Linked DNA regions of Saccharomyces cerevisiae S288C. The protein of the gene in region 1 binds, or shares a complex with, the protein of each later gene. Each region holds a gene or a part of one and is shown on either strand. Other genes may lie near its edges. A codon is read from its position in the direction of its gene.

What was found.
Region 2: the proteins of RIF1 (region 1) and RAP1 are in contact, whole or in part, in a crystal structure (PDB 4BJT), measured with the Saccharomyces cerevisiae proteins. Residues at the interface, in NP_009834.4 of Saccharomyces cerevisiae: Ile1760 (codon at 999), Arg1761 (codon at 996), Ile1762 (codon at 993), Pro1763 (codon at 990), Ile1764 (codon at 987), Phe1765 (codon at 984), Asn1766 (codon at 981); in NP_014183.1 of Saccharomyces cerevisiae: Ile724 (codon at 815), Tyr728 (codon at 803), Glu729 (codon at 800), Pro730 (codon at 797), Gln732 (codon at 791), Ala733 (codon at 788), Glu734 (codon at 785), Leu736 (codon at 779), Val737 (codon at 776), Thr752 (codon at 731), Leu755 (codon at 722), Thr756 (codon at 719), Ser759 (codon at 710), Gly760 (codon at 707), Asp761 (codon at 704), Leu762 (codon at 701), Met763 (codon at 698), Met817 (codon at 536), Phe821 (codon at 524), Asp825 (codon at 512), Leu826 (codon at 509).

What each region holds. Positions count from the first base shown.
Region 1 is NC_001134.8:750,831-758,609, forward strand, and holds RIF1 (DNA-binding protein RIF1), read right to left. Parts: upstream 6,277-7,779; coding exon 526-6,276; downstream 1-525. Other genes in the region: serine/threonine protein kinase CHK1, read left to right, coding at 1-347; tyrosine/serine/threonine protein phosphatase PPS1, read right to left, coding at 6,790-7,779. UniProt on the Saccharomyces cerevisiae protein: Negatively regulates telomere length by preventing telomere elongation or promoting degradation of the telomere ends. Recruited to telomeres by interaction with the C-terminus of RAP1, which binds directly to telomeric repeat DNA.
Region 2 is NC_001146.8:239,639-244,672, reverse strand, and holds RAP1 (DNA-binding transcription factor RAP1), read right to left. Parts: upstream 2,985-5,034; coding exon 501-2,984; downstream 1-500. Other genes in the region: IES2 (Ies2p), read right to left, coding at 1-205; PPN2 (putative serine/threonine-protein phosphatase), read right to left, coding at 3,362-4,342; ssDNA-dependent ATPase MGS1, read right to left, coding at 4,672-5,034. UniProt on the Saccharomyces cerevisiae protein: Essential regulatory protein in yeast whose DNA-binding sites are found at three types of chromosomal elements: promoters, silencers, and telomeres.

The DNA.
Region 1 (7,779 bases):
CGAATAAACTTACCAAGTTCTACACGTTGCAACCTATGGATGTTTTGTTACCGATTTTGGAGAAAGCCTTGAATTTATCACAAATTAGAGTAAAACCCGACCTTTTTGCGAATTTTGAAAGATTGTGCGAATTATTGGGTTATGATAACGTTTTCCCACTTATTATAAATATTAAAACCAAAAGTAATGGGGGTTATCAATTATGCGGTAGCATTTCCATCATAAAGATTGAAGAAGAGTTGAAAAGTGTCGGATTTGAAAGAAAAACTGGTGATCCTTTAGAATGGAGAAGATTGTTCAAGAAAATTTCAACTATCTGTAGGGATATTATCCTAATTCCCAACTGAAAAAAATGGAGACAAAAGAAGGGTTAAGATGCACTGATCAAAAAAAAAAAAAAATTCTTTCTACTTATTATATATCTCTCTCGATTTCTAGTGTGTCATCGTAACTATATATTGTTTCGAGAGATTTTATTATTGTAATTAATTTATTGCCATTTTGATCTATTCTACATACTAACAATCAATTCATATCATTATCCCTGTTTGAGTAATATTCGAGCCTCATCATAAAATCTAATAATTCAATTCTCAAGTTTCTTCTTTCTTCCACAGATATTCCGTTCAAGTCGCCCGGTGTGAACCCTCTCAATCTGGCCACTAACCTTCTCGACTTTTTTGAAAAAAAGTGCACTTTTAATGAAGGTGTGGCTTCCCTAGATGTAGCATCTTCGTTACCATCTCCCCCCAACAAAGGTTCGCCATCTGCTTCTGTGTGGGCTTGGCCTAATTGAATTTCATGGTGTTTTTCTTTTCCACCAATTGTTTTTGGTACGGTGTCTAAGCCATTCTGCGCGTTGATATTTGTATTTTCTGTCATTCGAGGAGGTGAATCTGGTGGCATTAACTCATTCCTTTGCAATCTCTTTTTCAATTTCTCTTTTATTTGGCTCTTTGACCCTTGCATTTTCAAAGAATTGAAAATGGGTATACGAATTTCTGGTAACACTGAAATATCAGCAACTTCGGGTTGTTCTTCTAGACCTGTCTCTTTAGATACCGCATGTTCCATTGATTTTAAAAAGCCCTCATCTCTGACATTTTCTTCAACAGGTACAAAATCGTCATTAATATTGGCATCCTTATCTCCTTTAAGCGGTCCCTTCAAATTTTTATTAAGTTCGCATGTTCCACTATCTTCTAAGCGTACATTGATACCTTCTTCGGTCATAACAACTTCCCTAGATTCTTCTTCAGTGCCTTGAATGGGTGTGCTGTCCATCCTGTCATTATTTTTGTTTCTACTGTTTATTGCACCCACTTGATGTTTCTCTTGCGCAACCGTTCCATGTTCATCTTCATCACTACGCAAGTCATCAACTTTTGATTTTTCTGTCTGCTTTGAACTATTGAGAAGTATAGTCCCACTCGGGATCTGAATGCCGTCTCCTGGCACCTCATTCCTTACTGGAGAGGCTTGTTCAACATTACAAGCATAATCGTTGTTTTCACCCTCATTATTAGGACGGGCTTTCTTCACGCTCTTGTACTGTGCAATATTGTCTTGCGTAAAACTTTTACTGTTGATTTTATTCATACTTTCCTGGTTCTCCTGTCTTTGAACATGTTCAACTTGCCCTTTTCCATCTTCCTTTGTTATGGTTTGCTGGTCAAGATCTAAAGTGACATTCAAGGAATTTTCATTACAGTTTGTTTCCACTTTTATGCTATTCCTTAAAGCTAACGAAGATTCTTCGTTGGCTATACTCTTGATGTTAGTACATATAACGTCACTGCTAGGCGACACCGCTTGTTCCTCAGAAACTAAAACGTCCACCATCGTTTCATGACCTTTCGATCTTTTATTTTCAGAGGTAGGCGTCTCTTTGGAAGGTCGTTTTAGAGGATTATCACTGTTAACAACGTTATGATCAGGATTCGTTTTGATAGATCTATTTGTTACCGCCTTCAGTTCGCTAGTGAGAACTTCTATCGGTTGGTATGCGTTCACTTCCGAGGATTGTGTATCAATACTTTCATGCAGCTCAGTAACATCCACCTCATCGCTTTTAGTAGAACAAATGTTGCTATGATTGGCCACGTTTTTATCTAACTGCGTACTCTTCATCTGCTGATCTATTTCTCTAATGCTTTCATTATCCACTTCCTCTAGTGTTTCATCATCAATTGATCTGCTTCGGTTAGCATGTGATTCTTGCTGTGAAGAATTCATTATTGCAGTATTTTTAAGCGATATTGAATCTGAATCTTTCGCACTAATCTGGGAAGATATTTGAATTGAGGAGGGAGGCTCTTTCATTCCCTGCGTAGCCGGAACCTGGATATCTTGAGAATCCACTTTTCTCTGTAAGTTTGAAAGTTTATTTTCACTCCCTTCGCATGGAATATACATCGACTTAGTGTCAGGTATAGCTTCAATTTCCTTACTTGAGTCCCCTTGATGAACCACGCCCGATTCCTGTATCCACTTTCCTATTGTCTTTAATGTTGCATTATAGGTTCTCTTATCTTTAAACTTACGATTATGTGATTTGATGAGGTCAATCAACAGATTAACCATATCAATAGTTTGATAGTTAGGGTTTGGCGGTAATATACTAATTAACATGGAAAAAAATTTTTTGGCGGCACTTCTAGAAAGCGGTTTAGTGAGATATAATAAGACTAATTCACGGAGCATATTTGTACTCTTTTTGTGTTTTTGCATATTAGAGCTAACTGGATTTAAGAAGAAAACTAAAAGTGGCTCCTTTAATTTTTCCAAAATTTGGATCTCTTTTTGTATAATAATCTTTTCAAGCAACTCCAATATATAATCATCATCTCCATTTTCAATTTTTTCAATAACTGCTGCCAGTAACTTCCCATTAGGCTTCTCCTTATACGTCAGTAATTTTAACAGTAGCTCTGGACTTATTTTGAAAAGAACTTCGCTGGTCATATTTCCGCAAAATTCATCCAAATGATCCGCCATATTATTCTTTATGCAAAAATTCAATAGGCCACTGAATAATGGTTCAATGGGATTTGCCATCGCCAGATGAAGGAGTTCTCTGATTATTTCTGATTTTTCTAACTCGCTATCAGACGCATTTTGTAAAACGTTCTCGATTTCTGAAAAATTTTGATTTAGCTGTTCAAGTTGTTGACCCTTCAACAGCCAACGAACTAATGTAAGCTGTTCGGAGCACTTGAATAGTTTTATGTTTGCTGCAAAATATGAAGCTCTGCTACGTGGTAACAGCTTCAATAGGAGATCTGAATTTAGATCAGGGATGGAATTTAGTAAATTTGGATTGGAATGAATACAGTACTCCAAAATATCCATAAATTTGTTACGCCTTAAAAATGGGAGCAGACCGGAAAACAGTTCAGGATTCCCTGGTAAAGAAGTTTTTAACAGCGTGATCAGATCCACGTTTAATTTGTTTTCATTTTTTGAAACATAGCTTTGAATGAAATAAATAAAATTATTGTTCGACCACATAGACACATGAAGTAGTGTAAACAAATTAACTGGAAAGCTGAGCTTCAAACATAGGTCCAAGAAATTTTCAATGGAATTTTCATTCGGAACTTTGTTCACAATATTCGCCAAACTCTGAAATTCTCTGAAAGATATATTTGGTGGTAATAACGTTGATCCAACCCAATTTTGGGCATATACTTCTGTTTTCTTATCATCCAATTCTAGAAACTTTTCTATTATCAGAAATTCAGATGTTTCGTTTCGAGCTTTCCTGATAACATCTTTTAAAAGATCAAGGGTCATGTTTCCTTGCGAAATACCAACTTTGGAAATTTGGATATTGAAATTTACTAATGATGAATCATTCTTTCTTAAAAACAGGTCCAAAAATGTATAAACAAACGATGAAGTAACAGCACCAAAAAAGTCACGAAAAATGGGTGTATCTTTGTTGTTTTGCGTGACTTTTAATATAAGACTGCTAAAGGATTCTAAATGAGTTTGGTCCTTTCTATCCTCTGGAAGATGCTTCAAAGATGTAAGGATCAGATCATGAGCCAAATTAACGTTAGAAATGGCTACTTCAACAGCCTGGAACACAACTTTCATGATTTTATCGTATTCACGCTTGATGATCTGCGGGGGCAGGCTTGAAATGTCTTTTAACTTTACACCTTCTGAGGCTATAACACTCATTGGGTGAATATGCTTTTTATATTTTCTTTCCAATGCAACATCTGCATTCTTTCCCCCAATTAACAAATGCAAAACTGTGAAGAGTACATTTTGCAAGTGAATCGAATCATATTTGAAAACATAATCTTCATAAATCGGGGTTATTAGGTGGTCCCAAAATAGTTCAAACATATCTGTTGACAAATTCTTATTACTTGTAAATGCAGTGTAAACAACACCTAAAAGGTGGTAGATGATCCCTTCTCTAGCGCTTGGATCATTCACATAAGGAAGCGTCATTTGAAAAGGGGTTCGTAAAAGTGACAGTAAACTTTTGTTTCCTTCCTGATTTTTCTGTGATATTTTCGTGCATATGCAGTAGGTAATAATTCTCCAAACTTTGATGGACATTAAGCGAGTCTTGGGGTGATTATTGATAAAGCACAGGTTATTTAAATCAAACCAAACTTTGTTAGATTCTGATGTCAAATCATAAACTCTCTTTCCGCTATCGTATAGTAATCCGGTCATTGAAAGCCACAAATCCATTGCTATTTTATTGTCATTTTTGACCACAATATAGTTTTTTATCTGCTGTGTAAGAAGATGACCAATTGTCACTTTATCTAAATTAGCGCTGTCATATGAATTTAACGGTAGTTTAGATAAAAATTTTTCCGGGATTGTTTCGCATACTGGAGATAGCATGATACACTGGTAAATCCTTTCATGTTCATCAACAAAATCTAAGCATTTTTTTAGTAGTTCCAGTAAAACAACTATTGAAGTTATGAGAATTTTCATGGAGTAAATTTCATCTCCGATAATAATCCTAGGTAGTACCTCACCTGGTAACCAAGAAGTTACCGTCTCAATCATTAATTTTGGATACTTGCTCAAAAATCCCCTTATAAGTAGCAATTTTTCATATATTAGGTTGTGACTATTGATTTCCATTATTTCAGTGAAAGTGCTAATGATAGGTTTAATTTCTTCGTTGCTCAAGAAAAAAGTACCAAATTTTTCGTCTCTCAAGAAAGAGACTTGTGCTGTTATGATTATCTTGTTTGAATTTTCATTTCTTAGCGCACCGGTGGTCCACCTGTAAATAACTTTTAACTTATTAACCAAATCTGGCCTTTTCGTTAGCCACTTAACGATTTTGAAATTAGACATAATAGCACTGAAGAATCGAACTATTTGAACATATAGTCTGATTACAAATGGATTTTTTTTTTCACTACTACTTAATAATGTGTCCTGTGCTATTTGTAGATGCGGTATGCATATTTCAATGATACTTTCTATATTCACAATTAGAATATTGAATTTCTGATCAACCTCGTTAACATTTTTAGTGGTTAGAATGGGTATAATATTATTAAAGGTTGCGTATACCTCAAACCTCCTCGCGACGTAATCTTCAGATTCTTGTCGCAAGATGCCCAATCCGCCCTCAATAATTTCTTTAAACTCCGAAACACTTTCATTATCAACTAAACCATGGATCTCACCACTCACCCAATACTCTAAGGCGCGAGGATTTACCCTTGTTTCCTTATAAGGTGATGTGAAAATATTACCGTTGTGTAATTTGTGTTGGGTATATTGGAGTTTATTGTAACTCAAGTCGCTTACAGTCCTCACTGAAGGCAACCTATTCCTCAAAATTGATTTTCCTGGTTTGCTTGATGGAGAGGGTTTAGGTGAGGAACCTGGTATGCGGTAAATCGGTGATGATTCTATCCTATCAGAAAAAGCTACACTTTTTGTAACCGGTGATACATTATCACTATTAGAGGCAGACAACTCTGGAAGACTTTGCATTAGCCTGCTTCCTGTATCTTCTGGATATAAATTCTTGTTAATAGCTGATAAATCAAATTGTTTATTCTCGCAATCACTTGAAGACGCTAGCTTTCGCCTCTTTGGCGTTGGCGATAGATCGCTTTGTATATGCATATGAGCTTGTGGAGATGGAGGTGGCAAGTTAGTTTTCATCCACGGAGAGCTTCCATTGGAATAATTATCGTGTTGAGACCTACGGAGGATATGCTGATCAATTCGATCTATCGTATGTTTCTTTTTATCTGAAAAATCTTTCGACATTGCAAATTGACCACAAAAACGATTTTGCAATGGCAATCCTGTAATAACGTTGACGAATATATATATATATATTCACTTTTATCTCCTTAGGTACTGATGCCGACGAATTGCCTCAAATCGCTCTAAGACTGCGTTATTACTTTCGATCTTCTTGCTAACGATGAGTCGCCAATAAATAAAAAATCGACGCGTCGGTCAATTATAGTAACTTCTATTATTGTAGTAAATATGACATAAGAGGAAAAACACAAAGAACTGAAAATCAAAATGGCACTAATCACCTGCCTTCTGTTGACTTCTTGTTTCTTATCAAAAGTAGAGTATATTCACGATGTAAATCTAAGATAGCTGTCCTTACTATATAAATATTTGCTGCGGCCCTTTTTTAACGATTTGTAAAGGATTACAGCAGTTCGTTATACTTGGCTGATAGCGTTAATTTTGCATACTTTTCTTATAATTGGTAATTTTCCTACGTATTATACAGTTGTACGTATACTTATATAACAAAGTTCATGTGTACTTCATATTAACCTCAGCGATACCCCTACAGATGATGTGCCAATCCATAGTTTTGTCTTTTTCGCGATTATAATGCTTTTTCCACCATTTGAAGAGCTCATATACGAAGAACAAGTTTGGTTGAATGATAACATTAAGCCTCCGTACCCTCACAAACAAATACGCACTTGCCAGGTCACACTGGAGATATCTCATACATTCAGCTATACAAACTGTTGCAGATCTGGAGACTCCGACCATACAATGCACCAGAACTTTCCCTCCTGTTGCTTCGGAATTGCTAATAAAATCCAAAACTTTGTCTATTTGGTGGAAAAGCGGATCTTTGCCGTTGTCATCTAGATTTTCGATCTGGCAAATTTGAAATCCAGAATTTTCACTTATTACTACGTTGCTGCCATTTTCTTGCTTATCGCTGACCACAGTATCAGCTCTATTTCTGCTTTTATTACATGTAGTATTACCTGCAACTTCATTGGTATTCGTCATAGTTATTGCACGATGTGGCCTTACAGGATGAGCAATTTTATCCTTATTCAATGTCCATGAAACAACTTCACCGACAGAAACTATATGCGTAATTCCTAGAGACTTAAGTAAGGCAGGATTTTGTGCATGATCCAGGGATCCCAAATACAAGTGACGTAGAATCCGGGATGGCAGTGGGCCCTTCAAATTAACGAAATTAGACTCAAGAGGAATCTTCATAAAAAATATGCTACTAAAAAGCTCTGAAGAAATGTGTAATTGAAAGCTTTTATCCCTAAATTTCAATGCATTGGCATATAATTTTAGATTACTTCCATTCTGCGGACTAAACTCCCGCAGGACAGGTTGTAAATGGCCTAAAATTTGCAAGTCTGATGGAAAAAGGAAAAATGGTCTTGGATGGATCCTCAAAAGAGCGTCTTGTAACGGAATATTAAAGTGGAATATAATATAAGCTGTTAATAATAATGACGTTTCTGTATATCCGTCTTC
Region 2 (5,034 bases), on another chromosome or scaffold:
CCACAGAAAGTTCTTTATCTCTAATGCGTTTTGAGGTTCTTACACCCTTAGGTACACTCCTACGTGCTGTTCTTCTAGATGATTTGGCTGTGACTATCTGATCGTCAATATCTTCCGTATAATCATCATCGTCAATGTATTCTTCCCCACCAGCTGAGACGCTGTCGGATAACTCTGCCTCAATGTCACTTGCTTCACTGTCCATTGTAGTCTGCTAATCGCCAGTTATTTGCTAGTTAGGCGTTTTATCCTTGAAGAAAAGACACGTTAAAAATGAGAATCTTCGTTCTGCGTTATACTTTCCTCCTTTTCTTCTCTCTTTTTTGCTAATGGGATTCTATAAAACTGTTCCGCCTTAATCATTGTAAGAATTTTGAAAATTAAAATACGTAAAAGTTTACATAAATTATACATTGAACTGAAAAACAAAGTAGAAAACGTGAATCAGTGAAATAAAGGAGTAAAATAAGTTAAACAATGATGTTACTTAATTCAATTACTCATAACAGGTCCTTCTCAAAAAATCTTTTCCTCATTTCCATTCTACCAGTTCCATGCTTTTTAACCAGTTTCCTTATTTGTTCTTGATCATTGCTTTTTAGCGATTCGTCGTCATCATGTGTCCAAATACCAGGAACGTTGGGAGGAGGATTAACATTGTCCTTAAACATGTTCAAGAAATAGCGAGGAAAGACCATCAGATCCCCGGATAAACACGTCAATATGCTCGTACTGAAATTTTTACGTATACCAGTTTCATCGCAAAGATCCTGTACCAGTTTTTCAGCCTGTGATGGCTCATAATCTCCTGAAATAACTTCATGAAGTTTATCCATAAATTGTCTCGTACTGCCAAAATGAAAGAACAATGGCAGGAAAAGATCTGTTGTTGCAATTTTTGGTGGAAAGCTTATGGTATCAGGATCAATATTATCATATATATCTTCATTCGAAAAATCGCTTCTTATAGCTTCCGCAATCTCGTGTGGATACTCAAAGGGCAAACTATTTGAAATATTGGATAGATCATTCTTTAAACTGGAAATGAAATTCATGGTATCTTCGTCCAGTAATTCGTTTTCTGGTATAGCGTAAGAGTTGGAAGCAGCGGCAGCAGCAGCGGCAGCAGCATTAGCGGACGCTGCATTGGCAGTAGGCTGAACATTTCTTTGAGAACTATAATTTCTTGCCCTCTTGGCGGCAGAGTTATAATTGCCAGGAGTGGGAACGCCAGGCCTCTTGGGTCTATTGGTGAGGTTCTTCATCGGTTCCGGCTCTCTATTCTGAGCTTTTTCAGCTTCATAATAACTAATATAATCATCAATGCCGTAAGCGAGAAGAAACTTCCTAAACCTATCTCTCCAAGCATTCTCAGTATGTGCTGCATGCTCTTCGGCAAAATGCTTGAAAAATTCTCGTGCAATCGGTCCCCTACGGCTTTGGGTTCTGTAAGCTGCAAAGTTGGGTTCACTCCCTGGCACATGATTTGGATCCATTGTCATATTCCTCCTCGCTATAGCAGTGGGTGTATCCTCATCTGTGATAAGTGATCTTCCAGTATCAGGGTCGATTTGAAACAAATCACGATAAAACTGCTTCTTGACCGCGATTGCCAAAGTGTAATCTTCATCTGCTGAAAATTTCCTTTTAATTGATGGTGGCAAAACTTTAGTCTTTATCAGATTTCCATCGTCGTCTCTAACCAATTTACCAAACTTGTCAACCTCATAAACGTACTCTAGTCTTTTGGAAAGATAGACTCTAAATCGGTGCCTAATAGAATTACCCGTGTGGTTAGGCACATAATGGGATATTTCATCGTAAAGAGTATGTGTTGTACGCCTGGTTGGATTTTTTCTCACAACATCCAAAATAAACTCATCTTCCTCATCTGTAAAAGAAGCTTTATTGTGGGAGGGCAAAGCGCCTCTCGAAATCATGGACCTTTGTGCTTGAAAAGATGCATTCCCCTCATCTGCTGTTTGAGGGTTGTTGTCCTGTGTCAAAAGATCATTGTCTTCGTCGTTGACGTTGCTATTATTATTATTGGAGGTATCTTTTTGAGGTTGTTCGATCTGGACCAAGTCATTGTGCCCTCCGCTTGTGATTGATGCGGTGCTGCTTACATGTTGACGAAGGAGCTGAGCTTGCTCTTGTAATCTAGCTTGTTGTTCAGCGTCTACCATAACTTTTTCGCTGGTTGAGTCTTCCGTAGCGCCATTAGTATTCGTAGAGATTATTTCTGTTTTGGGCCTGATAGAATCCTTGTTATCGCTATTGCTATTGCTATTATCTACACCATTAGAATGCGATTCCTCCTGCAACCTACTATCGACAACTTCTCTAAAGTTATCGTATGGTACTAAATAATTTTCCATGTTCAGTAGCGAGTTGCTTTGACAACATGCCTTAATATAAGTCGGAGTTACCGTTGGTAAATTGGTATGATTATAGGGTGACACGATGAAAACATTCTCTTTTGATTCTCTTGGCTTGGAGTCTAGCACTTCACCACCGTTTGCTCTAATCAGACGCGCTAATTGATCAATATCATTTAAAGAGTCATGCGCATCCGCGTCGCGATTAAGATAGAATTTCATATTTGACAGAGGAGGACCACTTACTTGTTCCTTTTTCTCATCAGCAGCGGTGTCATCAGTAGTAGGTTCAGTAACAGATGCACCTGATGTCGAAGCAATGTTAGCGGTAGCAGCAGTATCAGCAATGGAAGGCGTGGTAGTTGTTACACCGACTTCAGTGGTATCATCATCATCTTTCTTTTCGACCTCCGTCTGATCCACTTTCTCACTAGTTTCAGCAGCAGTAGCACCAGTGTTTTCTTCGTTTTGATTAGCTTTTACCTCAGCGGCTGAATCCGATGGCGCTGTGACTGCAGCAGAACCACTGTCAACAACGACCATACTCGGATCCAATGCATCAACATATTCTGCTGGTGCAGTTTCAAAATCATCTGGACTAGACATATTGAGATAATCTGTACGCAAATAGTGTCTTATGTAGGGCGGTTGCGTATACAACGGTTTGTGTTTACTACCTTTTGGGCTATGGGTTTGTTTTGTTTAAAACGTGTATTGATGGTGTTTAGGTGCTGGATGTTGGGTGTTGAAGAAATGATTGCGGTTGTCTGTTTTCGGTTTTGTTTTCTTTTCTCGCTAAATTTTAAAACTTCAACAACGAAGAAGAGGCGGGTAGCGGCCATTGGGCAAGAATACTTGTAGCTCCAGCGAAAGTTTCATTGAAATTTAAGATTCAGTATTATGAGTTACATAATAATATTCATATCTTTTTCATATAGTACATTATATAAAATCTGTTGCGCTTTTAAGTAGTACTTTTTGTTTTAAGAGCATTGTACTTGAATTAATTCATAGTCATATTGCCCCTTCTTAATATCGTACTTCACTTTCATAGATGAAAGCAGATTGTTCTTTATACATGCTGTGTCCAAACCTTTGGTCTGTCTCCGTAGGTTTAGTCCCATGGATGCATCGTGCCCGTAAAATACTTTGGCGTTACTAAAGTGGTCTCCGTATTTGTCCCACAGTGTGTACCATCTCACATAATTCTTGTTTTCCTTTTCACGTGATGTTTTTGACCAGTTCTTCTTATCAACGTACTTCATGTTTGACAGAGAGCTCACGCCCGGAATTTGGTTGGGCTTCATGAAGTCTCCCGGAACCATCCCTGCATGTGCACCAAAGAGTATATCACCGGTAATATCCAGATCTAGTTCTATGGCCATAGAACAATGTTCCGCTAGCTGACTTAATTTGGAAAACCCAAGTTCGCGAGCTAACCGTCCATGTGCGTTGCTGATTTTAGAGATGTCTTGTGGTATGAAATTAGTCTCCGTACTGAAAGTTAAAGGTGTCATTAATTTGGGGCGTCTTACCCATTTCGAGAAGTCTGGGTTTAAATAGGCCATCATGACCAATATTTCATGATTGCCCAAAACGCACTTGACTTGATCCTTGTGATTTAGAATATACGACACGACCTTGTCTGAGTCCGGGCCCTTGTGAATAAAGTCACCCAGCAATATCATTGTTATATTTTCTCCTAGTCCTCCAATCTTGTCATCAATGAGTTCTATGAACTCATCATAGTTACCATGAACGTCACCAACAAAAACGTACTCCTTATTTAAATCTGTTACATGCTCAATTTTCTTCAAGGTGCTAATTGTAGGCAATAAGGAAACTGGTGGAGACAACCGAGGGTTATCAAACTTGAATATATATAGTGTATAAACGCAGCATGCCACAAATAATATCAATGCTGTACTAAGTGTAGCGGCTCGTCTTTTCCGCTTATCTTCCATTTTTGCGTATCTATGCTCCTCAAGCCTGGCTCATTTTACAAGCTGGAAGGTCGAGGAAAAGGAAGAACTAATTCAAGAATAATGTGCTCTTCTTATAGGATGCGTATATGTTCTAATATATCTCAGATGGGCCCGCGAGACTTTTCTAGCATGAAAAAAAAAGGTGGATCCTTGATTATCTAAAATTATAGTTTATATCGTTCATGCTGCACAAAAACGTGCCAGCAATGCAATGCGCCTCAAGCGTAAAAAAACAAGCGGCATTGGCCAACAGAGAAAAAAATATGAATTGTAGACGCGGCATTGAGAGAAGTATGGAAGACCCTTGACTAACCCTGATATGACTGTCTCAAGTCAGGATCTTCTTTGTCTCCTAAATGTTTGCCGTCCAGGAACTTTAAGTCAGTTTTATTTGGACATTTCTCGAGCACTTCTTTGGGAAAGTAGTCTTGTTGGACTTTTCCTTCAATATAATCGGGATTGTACTTGTAGCCTTTATGATAACCCAGCTCCTCCATCAATTTGGTTGGCGCATTTCTGATATGCATCGGTATCTCACTGCTTGCTAAACTGTACATGTTCTCGCTCATCATTGCCCTTAATTTCTTCCAAGCTCTATATAGTTCTACTGACTTTGGTGCCCTAGCCAAAGCAACACAACATTGCGCCAGTGCAAGGTCTGCCTCTGGCAA